Drosophila melanogaster: one gene and its partner. The protein of the gene in region 1 purifies or fractionates together with the protein of each later gene. This does not show direct contact. Each region holds a gene or a part of one and is shown on either strand. Other genes may lie near its edges. The genes, in order: vari and Fas3.

Region 1 (5,191 bases):
TTAATCAGCATTGTGTTACCCTTTGTTATATTGTTAAGGTGCAAATTTCAAATCCATATTTCTCCATGTATAAATATATATTTAAATTGCTCAATTCCCAGCTGAGTCTGCCAATAGGTTGAGTGTTATTTTATATCAAAGGGCATTCAATATAAAACAATTCAAAACGTATCTGGGCATTTATATATTTAAAAACTGCGTTTATTTATGAGGTTTATATAAAGAAACAGTTTAAGAATAGAAAAATGTAATAAACTTCTGTTACCATGCCGACCATTTGGCACTCATTTAACCACTGTGCCTCTAAAATCAAGGACTCTCGATGGCTGAGCTAAATTTTTTGCACATTTGCGGGTTTCTTGCGCACAATGGTCAAAGGGGCGCGAATCAAACGGGGGCCTTGACTTTTGCACTTTTGGCGAATTTTTTTTACAGCAGGACATACAGCAAATCGGACGGAGGATAAAACAAGAACCAAAAAGAAAGATACAAGGCACAAATACCGAAAGACAAGTAACTCACCACGACGGGGGGTGTCGCCGGAGGTGAAGGTGGATAAACAGGAATTTCTGCCTGTTCTGTTTTGATTTTTCGCTATCTCTCTCTTTCGCTCAGCTGCTTCTGCTTCTTCGGTTTGTTTATGTGTAATCCTTTTGTTTCTTTCGATTTTGGCGCGCAATTTTCCTTTTTTTTATTGCTATTGTTTTAGTTGTTGCTAATTACTAATTTGCAATGCAATTTTTCAAAACACGCGAAGCCGTTTTGTTGTGGCCGTTGTTATTGTTGCGTTGGCCGTGTGATTGCGGTTATAGTTGTCGTTGCGTTGTTGTTGGTTGTTGCTAGTTGCTGTTGTTGCTTTTGCAACTTTTTCACAATTTGCATTTCACGTATTTTTGCAGCAGCTTCGACGACTTTGACTTTGTTGCACAAACACAGGCGGAAAAACGGCCACACACTAACGAACTGAAAACAACAAAACAATCCGAGGAAGCTGCTGGCGTCTCTTTTCCTTCGATTTTTTCCCAAGATTGCCAATCCGATTTTACTGCCTGATTTAGTGTACTTTCGCGAATCTATAGTTATTTCCGCAGCCAGTCATTCAAAAACGAAAATGTAAACGAAACAGTGGGTTTACATTAATATATCATCACATAAATATGGGTTTTTTTGAATCCCAAAAGCATCTCGTGTTACTTAGCGCGACAAATCGGTTTCCGACGTATACTCGTTCGCTGAGATGTTATTCCACAGTGGTATTTAATTTGTTTTTACTCTTCATGCGAGGAAAGCACCGTACGCGCACGCTGCTCAAAACGGAATGAAAACAAGAGCTGTCGCATCGTTTCAGCCGAAAAATACCGAAGCATGCTGAAACTTCGAAAAATACCGCAAGCGAGAAACGATGTTTTTTCATCTATGGCAAGTCGACGTCTATTACCCTTTCGATTAATAGAAATAAAATATTGCATATTTATTGAAGTAACGAAGTTTGTTGCATCCCAGAGTTTTGTTAAGGCATAAATAAAGTTCCATAAGCAATTTAAAGACTATTTAATTAAATTGATTTCTAATTGGCATATGAACGAACATTTATTGGTCGTCCAGTTTAGAGTACATATTTATGTACAAATCGAAGTAAATTTTTTATAATATTAACGCACGGTTTATCAATGGCACAAACCATCAGCGATTCCCAAGCCATCCATTTTTAGCTATGTTATAGCTATAGAAAAAGCAATCACAAGCAAAATTAAAGATAATAAACAATATTAAATTTAAATGGCCTGAGAACAGTGGAATGCATTTTTATGACAGGCTTTCGAACTCCGTACATAAAGTACATTTACCGTACCGACCCAACAAAGAAGTGGCGCCGATAAGCACAATATTTAAAAACCGATAGGCACACGTTATTTGACTTTTTGTCTGCAAAAGCTTTCTCGTTTTAAGGAGCTTTGATTTTGGCATCACCTGCAACAAAAGCGGTTTTCAGTTTAGTTAGCCTCTTTCTCACAAACAAGTCGGTTGTTTTTGCGCTGTTGGAGGAGTGAAATTCTTAGCCGCGCTATTGTTTTTGTTGTTTGCGTGGCGTTGTGTTTATAACAATAACAACAAGTGATTATCACTGGAAGACATGTTCTGTTCAAGTAGCTAAGCATATGGCTGGCTAAGAAAAAAAACACAAGGGTTATAACCCTTTTTTGGCCGAAATACGAGACTGTCCTCCGGGGTTACTTCATTCGGTCTGTTATTTTGGCCACCTCCCAGTTCCTTCAAAATGGTTCGGTGGAGCGCGCGGTCGCGGCGCCAAGCTCGCCAGGATAAAGTGGAGCTATTGGCCAGAAACAACAAAGTGAATGGCGAGGACGATACCTCCGATAACGGTACGTGCCAGGGGTGTCCTCAAAAGGAGAATTTTAAGCGAAGTTCATACGAAATTCCAAACTATCATTTTATTGTTGTTTCTTTTTCCTTTAAGGCTCTGTTAATAAAGTTTTAATTTTGAAGATTTCAGTTGTTTAAATAGTTAAAAGATTTACAAACTAAATATTTCAATTCATATTCAAAAAGTGAAACGAGACAAGAGTTATGTTGCATTTCAGTAAGCCTGCTTGAAGTAAATATAATGATTTGTACTCATAGCTAAGAATAATCTGAAACCTGTTTGAAGATATGCGGTCTTTAAATGTATTTACAATAAATCGATAACAAAGAATATGATTATAAAACGAAAAATCAGATGCATGTATATCTAAATATTTCCCTCTAGAATTCCATCATTGTATGAATTGTATGAATTGAAAAGGGTAGCATTAAGCTGCCAAAACGAATGTCATTTCATCTGTTTCCGATTGTCATTTAACGACTGCGATTAATCTAAAACACTTTCGCTCCGTTTTAGCCGCCTTTCGCAACTCGACTGACCTATCCGACCACGATGAGATCTTCCTCAAGGGATTGCTGCGTAGTAACTCCAACACGCCCCACAAGGAACTGATGGCAAGTAGACCAGAACATATAAACGTAAAAAGGCGAGAGAAAATATCTCTGTACAATTTCTGACCCACTTAAACGCCTTCGAGCATCTGCTCAATAAGAAAATTGCGCATACGGTTTTCCACCCATTTTCCATACCCAGCCACACACACGCACACACTTTCCACATTTGTGTTTACTTCATCGATGGCATTGCATGCTGATTTTTCGGTCTAGATAGAATTTTCCGGGCTGCTTGTATGTGCGTGTGTTTGCTTTTCTTATTACATCATTTTCCTTGCCTCCACAAGCGCCAAAAAGAAAAGAAAATCCTTCTGTATTTTAAAAGATTTTCTCGCTTTAGCCATGCACTGCAATTGTTTTTTTTTTTTTTTTTGACTTCGTAATGGCCCATTAGCACTTGCTATTTTATTTTTGCCTTCCTCTTTTGAGTTTTCGCACTAAACTTGACCTCTATTGCCTCGGCAGATGAGTTGCCTTTATGCAGATGGGAGGCATTTTATTAGATCATCGTGACATAACCATTGAAGTGGAAATTATCTTGACCCGACACATTTAGCGCCTCCTCGAAGGTTTCTTACGGTAAAAGAACTGCCAAAAAGTTTGTAGCCTAATCAAATTGTAAATATTATTTGCTGTTCCTGCGGCAAACACGCAGGTCAACTAGAAAAACAATGAGAGGCAGTTACAACCAAAATTAAAACGAATTTGTTGTGCTCTGTATACAAGAAAAATAACAAAATATTTTAATTAATTTTTAAAAATTAATTTTCAAAATTGAAGATGCCCTTTCTAAGATGTAAAGTTATTCTGTTGGCGAATAATAAAGAAGTGGGGAATTAAATAGTATGTAAAAAATAGGCGTAAAACAATGATTATTAAGACCCAAACTAGCAGTACGGAAAAGCCAAATACAACAAATATTATGGAAAGCGACATCGTGTGACGACGACCATAATTAGAATCCAACATTTTCCGAGGCATTTTCCTGGGCAGGCTCATTCGTTTGTGGTTTTCTGCTGTGGTCGGCGGCTGTTGAGAAAGGCAGTGAAAGTAATTAAGCCACGAGTCACGAGATAAGAAAATATGAAATGTCACTACCAGCTCCCCTGTTTTCCTTTCCCCAACTCGCCTGTCGTCACCGCTCCTTGGAACACTCCCCCATTTTATGCAGATTACATAAAACTCGACGCAAGTCGCCGTGCCAACTCTTTGACATCAACGCCCCAAAGAAGTTGTGTGTATTTGAGTGTGAATAAGGAAACCGGTTTGGAAACATTTTCCAACGTAAACACTACGCTTTTTATGCTACCTGCGCTCGAAAACGATGCACAAAAAGCGCCCAGCTCGTTGGCCTACTAATGCAGCTGTGGTCGGGAGATCGAAAAAGCTTGCTATAAGATGCTGTTAAGATCACTGAAGTAGTTGGTAAAAACATTGCAAAGCATGTTATAGCCAAACTTACTTATTTAAGGTTCTGTTTTACTGAACAAAGTATAAAGCTAGTTAAATAAATATGTTTCAGCAACATTTGAATTATAATATTTGGAAAGCTAAGATCAGATTATTTAATTTCAGTATAACATTTAACAGAACATTTTAATGTTGGTTATTGTTATATTTTAGATATACCCCAAGTATGTACATATTTGTATTTTAAAAAGTTTTCTACAGTTTCAAATGGTTTTCATTAACAGAAAGAGAGGGCGCGTCACTGCTGGTTTTAAGTCACTGTTAAGTACAAGCTAACATGTGGATAACAGACTGCGTACAGTTGTAACTTGGCTCACGCGGAGCTTTTTTCACGGCAAGCCAGCGGCAAGCGAACTGAGCAGCAAACAAAGCTAGCCCTAACTTGCTCACTAGCTCTCGCCGCTTGCTTCCATAGCTCGTGAGTCAGTTAGTTGCGAACAGTGCTAAGGTGAGGTTCACATTCCGGTTTGAAACGCGCGCTTCGTTGGTTTCGGCCCATTCGAATGAGTGAGCATTGGTGCCTGACTGTAGTATAGGTGTTTTCACGGTGGTGTTTGTGAGCGTGGCTTAAACGGGCGGCTTGAAACCGAAAAGCAACAGTTAGTTGGTGCTCTCTCTGCCCTCTCTCTTTCGAATTCAACAATGTTCATAAACCATTTTCCGTGTGAAAATTAATAAGCCCACTTCAGGTGCTAATTACGAATCGATCAATATTATTGTA
Region 2 (5,210 bases), 2.5 Mb from region 1:
TTGAAAATTATGTATGTCATGGGCGGGAGTGGGTGGTATGAATTGGATTGCCAAAAAACCAAAAGGAATAGATATAGGTGCAGTAGTCACAGTTCGCAGTAACAGTCACTGTCCGACGAGTCACATTTAGAAGCGGCAAACTGGGCAAACACTGCACGTATTTAATTCAATGCCTGGATCTTTTTTGTGACCATACCAGATGGCATATATGTATGTAGATATATGTATGTACAAAATATAGCATAGAACATGCCTCAATTGGTGGCCATTAAAATGCATAAATGCTGGACCGCTTTTTGTTCGCTCCTAGATGAGGCAGTCATAACTAAATACGTCACGACTGCAGCTCCTTTTGGCCATTTGAATTACTGTGAATGGTTTTTGGATGCAATGCCTTATTTACATGCTGCACATGTTGCAGTTCGTGTCTCCTTCATCCCTTTTTTATATCCTTGCACAAAGAGCGTCCATAAAATTGAATGGGAAGTTTGCAAAGGAAATTGTGGTTGATTTTTATGTGGGTTCTGGTCATATACATATATAGTTCCGAAAGTGGAGTATGCCATGGAGAGTTTATTTTTATTTAAAAAAAAGCGGATAGTTATCTCAAGGGGTAGTAATTTAAAGTTTAAGTACATTTGGAGAGTATCCAGAAACAGTGGCGATAAATAAATCGTTTGGCAATATTCGCATGTTAATAAACACTATTACCACAAGAAATTCAATTCCCATAGAATATTGTTAAATACTATTGAGACTCTTGTCCTTTTTTGCACGCTTAAGCGTATCCTTTGGGTCGGATAGTTAAATTTCCGGCCCATGCCCGTCTGAAAAAACGGTCCATGGTGCCATGGCCGGAGCTGCATTAAACATTTATAATTGCAAGACAACAGCCAGCCGGCAGTCAACTGATGCGATGTCTGCGATGCGTCAGTCCTATAAAAATGTAAAAGTATTCAGTGTGAAGTGGCAAAGCCCTGCTAGAAAAAGACGGCAACTGGACAGCGGAAAGAGATAGGGAGAAGGGTTGAACCTGCAGTGGATTTCCTGGTGTACTTTATTTTGGTTTTTTGTGTGCAGTTTTTGCATTTACATTTTCGTAAACCTTTGAAAGGTTCCAGGCAGGCTTAGCAACTGAATAAAACGCGGCTGTCTTAAAGTCACGTCATGTGGGTGGTTCTGTGGGGGGGGGGGTGGCTTTACCATTGGGCGGTTGAATCTGCCGAGGGGCTGTGGCAGTAATGAGGCAACTGCAAAAGCAACAGCTTCATGTGCCGTGTGTTGTGTTAATGTTGTTAGGCTTTGGCATAAACCAGCATCTTCTTTTCAGCTAATGAGAAATCTGTCTCAGTTTCCCCAGCTAGCTCTGCACCCATATATCCTTCTCGCTCTTCAAGGACGTAATAAGAGGGTACAATATAATAAGCACGGCTGAAACATTGAAGGATTTTAATTAAATAGAACCGACAGCGTTTTTGGGCCTTGATGATGGCATAGAATTTATATCCGCATTCGTACGTGGTACAAAGAGATGAAAGTAATGCTCAAGTGGATGCTGATGTTGTCTCCTAATTTCAAGGATGCATGCTGGCACAAGATGCGGCACTTAGAATAAATTAAAAAAGGAGCCAAATAAAGACTAATTACAGTGGAGCGAATATTGAGACGTATTACCATCTACAAGGTTTTTTTTAGATTCTACATTATTGGGGGCCAATGCTAAAATATGGAAACTAGTATTGATATAGTACAAAATTATATTCCAAGGCAAAATACATTTCAAAAACACATTATTGATCACAAGTCGGTTCCAATAAAGTACAACTATTAAACAGTCTAATACTGTCATAAAACCAAGCAAACCTCTTATGGGCACACAAAGCTATCAAACCCTATCACGTATGAACACAAAACCAAAGAAAATCCATTAAAACAGCTACTAAACCGATTAATTAAAATAAACGATCCGTGAATCATCTGCGGCGAAGATCTTTCGGGCAAGCCCAATTTGGTTGGACTCACCATAGAAGACCAAAGTGTAATTGACCTTTTCAACCTGTGCTGGCGCATGGCAAATGCCAGCTGTACCCCAAGATGCGAAAGGTCACACTTGGCACGGACACAGATTCAAAACAGCTTCGGTCACACTCTGAGCATGCGCAGTTGGAGCTATGGACCAAACCGGGTCAACCGCCAAAAGAGGAGGAACTATCAATTTCATGGATATTATGACAGGGAACTTTTCACTCAATCATCACTTTCATAAAGACAACACTTTCCACAGCCCCGCGGGGCGATGTCTTCTCATCAATCAAGTTTGCCGTTCAACAATGATATTTTTATACAGCTCGAGGTGAGAACACGTTTTTGGGTAGCATCTTTTTATTCATATACATAGGTATCTGAGAGTAAGCTAAACTTTTTCACACATTTGCGCGGGTCTTAAACGAGCGCGTGATATCATCTCATGAGCGCGACTTTGGCTTTACTTTCCTCTGAGCCGTTGTTTATTCTTACCTGTTAAGATGGCTGCGAGACATATAAAAACGATCCGTGACATGATTTTGCTGCTGACTTCCTTTGGCTTCGCGTATTTTTTCTACTGAGCGTGAGCGTATAAGTAATCCCGGTTTTGTTTTTTTGGGTTTCCTTATATGTGTGTATGAATTTTTTTTCTTGGTGTCACTCAGGCGTTTGGTTGCACTTGCTTTAGCTTTTCATGCATAAAATATACGGCCAAGTACGTTTTGGTGGCACTTTACGGCCGCTGAGGCTCTGGTTTATATTTTTTATGTGACGTGTGGGTGTGTGTGTGTGTTTTGGGGTGTGCAGTGTGTGTTTGGATGCTTTTTTAACTCCTCGCTATTATTTGTTATTTTCAAGGGGTATATCCGATCGGTTGGTTTGCGCTAATCGAAGATTATGCCACACTTGTAAACACACACGGTGGGCCAAATGCCAGTGGCAGCGATAGTGCTCAATGGCCGGCTAACGCACACGGACGCAGGTTTATACGATTCCGACACGAATAACGATATCAAATCCCGAAATGCCGAACCCAAAATGCCGAACGACCGATGTGCCCACGCAATCCAAGAGCGACAGAGAACGACTGATAGGAGCAACAGTTACCAAACGACTGAATCCGCTCCGTGTTTATAAAGTTGCCAACATGGGCAGCGCAGCGGCCGCGACGTCGGCGCCAGCTGCGGCAGCGACAGCGGCAGCATGCTGCGAACACCAGGCGTATGCGTTTTTACATATGCAGTCGCTGGGGTTGCATGTTGCCGCTGGATGTTGCTGGCGTTTGTCGATGTTGCGGCTGCATGTTGCTGCCGCTACATGCGCGACGAGCTAGCAGCATTGCTCGTTCTAGTTTACGCTTTACAGCGACTGTGTGTACAGGGTACTTTTAAATTACGGGGGTATATGGACTTGAACACACTACCTAAAAATAATGGTTTCAATTTATAGCAGCTGCAGTTTTTTATAATTTATTTTTACAATTATTATTTAGGTCACAGGGAATTGGGTGGGTGCTAGGAATTTATAATCTTTTAATCAACGTTTACCTAGCAAAACAGTCTTTGCAGTGTGCTCCACTAATAAATATGTATTTTGTTGCTTATAATTTAAAATGTAAAGTGAATTGTTGAAAATAACAAACTCATTAGAGCTTAGCCTGCATCTCCGGTTTTGATGACACATCTATTTAGGTGGAAAAATTTAGGTGACTAACGTGTTCTATTTTCCTTTGCGTCATAACTGGAGTTCAAATAAAGTTTCTTAGCATGGTGCTAATTTAAATATTATGAGTATGGGTTTGTACAGTATTTATTTACCTAATATCTACAAGTTAGAAGCCGTTAATAGGTCGTATTTGACCCACAAATGGATTGATTTATTCCTAATACCATTTTTTAATATCTAATGTTAAATAGATGAAAAGTACATTTAACAGTAGAATCAATGGCCCAAAGTTCCGAAAGCATGTTTTTTTTTAAACCGCGTGATAATTTGCTACGACCCAATTGGTTAAGGTTAGGCAAATCAATAAATATAAATTAGATGGACAAAGAAACATTATTTCGGATCGACATAAACATGTGTTGCAAGTAAATAGAATTTAAACGGGCACTCCATACAGTGTAATACTTTCTGCCGCCGCTGTTCTTGTTGTTTAGTTTGATTTGAATTTGTTTGGCTCTTGTGCATTGTGTTGTTGCAGCTTTCGCTCTTGTTGTTATTGCTGGTATTGTTGGTGTTGTTGTTGATTTGGCCAAGTTTGCTTTCAGGCTGTCGCCGTTGCTGCTGCAACTGCCGGATTTCTGTCTATTTGTCGTTTGATAATCTACCCCCTTGCCGGCCGCCTCCTTGGATTTCGCCGGCTTTTGTTTGCCTGTCGTGTTGTCGAATGGCACACATACAAATTCCGACCGAGAGCGAATCTTTGGCACAGTGGCTCCTCGTTCTGGTTGCCGATTCCCGTTCCCAGTTTCCCGCTCCCTCTTCCGCAAATATTCCGCTGTGTTTGCCACAGTTCCAGATCCCCAGAATCGCCCGCAATGGGACTGTGACCTGAAACCCACTTCGATTAGAATGATGTAAACGCAGGCTCGATTTATGGCGAGAACAGTAAATAGTAAGCTACGCAGTACTTAGGAAGTTTGTAATGGCTACCAAATAGAGCGATCGTACAGCTTACATAATAATTATAGAGCCTTACATATTGCTTTAACTAAATTATTGTACGAAATTACTTGTGTATCAATATTGAGATACAGTGTACTGTACCTGTGGAACTCTGAAATGCCGCATCGCCGGACAACTATAAGCTTGGAAATATTTAAAGTGACCCGTATTTTCGCACCCTCACCCTGTGCGATTTCCATTTTCGATTCATTGCCCCATAATGTATTTACTTCTGCATTATTACACTTGCCATCGTGCACTCCCTGTTTGCCCCCGAAAACCAGGCAGCAAATAGTATTATCAAACATTTTAAATTTAATCAAAGCACACACATTCAATAAGCCTGGGGCCATATTTGGACTATGAAAAGGTAAGCCATGAAAAATGCATAGAAATTGCACACCCTATTGGATGAAAATAGGGTCGCGTGGACTAGAGAAATATAGCTGCATAAATGTTGATGTTTTCGAACTGTCATCTTTAAAAATATTATTTTTTCTAATTTTTATTTTGGTGCA

The links.
Region 2: the proteins of vari (region 1) and Fas3 purify together in Drosophila melanogaster (affinity purification with western blotting, with the first as the bait; one study listed by BioGRID). This does not show direct contact.

What each region holds. Positions count from the first base shown.
Region 1 is NT_033779.5:20,793,846-20,799,036, reverse strand, and holds the start of vari (varicose), read left to right. Parts: upstream 1-1,994; 5' UTR 1,995-2,278; coding exon 2,279-2,384; intron 2,385-2,902; coding exon 2,903-3,000; intron 3,001-3,781; exon of another isoform or gene 3,782-4,029; intron 4,030-4,098; exon of another isoform or gene 4,099-4,231; intron 4,232-4,890; exon of another isoform or gene 4,891-4,977; intron 4,978-5,191.
Region 2 is NT_033779.5:18,318,038-18,323,247, reverse strand, and holds the start of Fas3 (fasciclin 3), read right to left. Parts: upstream 3,147-5,210; 5' UTR 2,561-3,146; coding exon 2,518-2,560; intron 1-2,517. UniProt on the Drosophila melanogaster protein: Mediates cell adhesion in a Ca(2+)-independent manner. It plays a role in axon outgrowth, guidance and fasciculation of the developing nervous system. Function in neurons is essential for adult survival, and is important for climbing behavior and activity.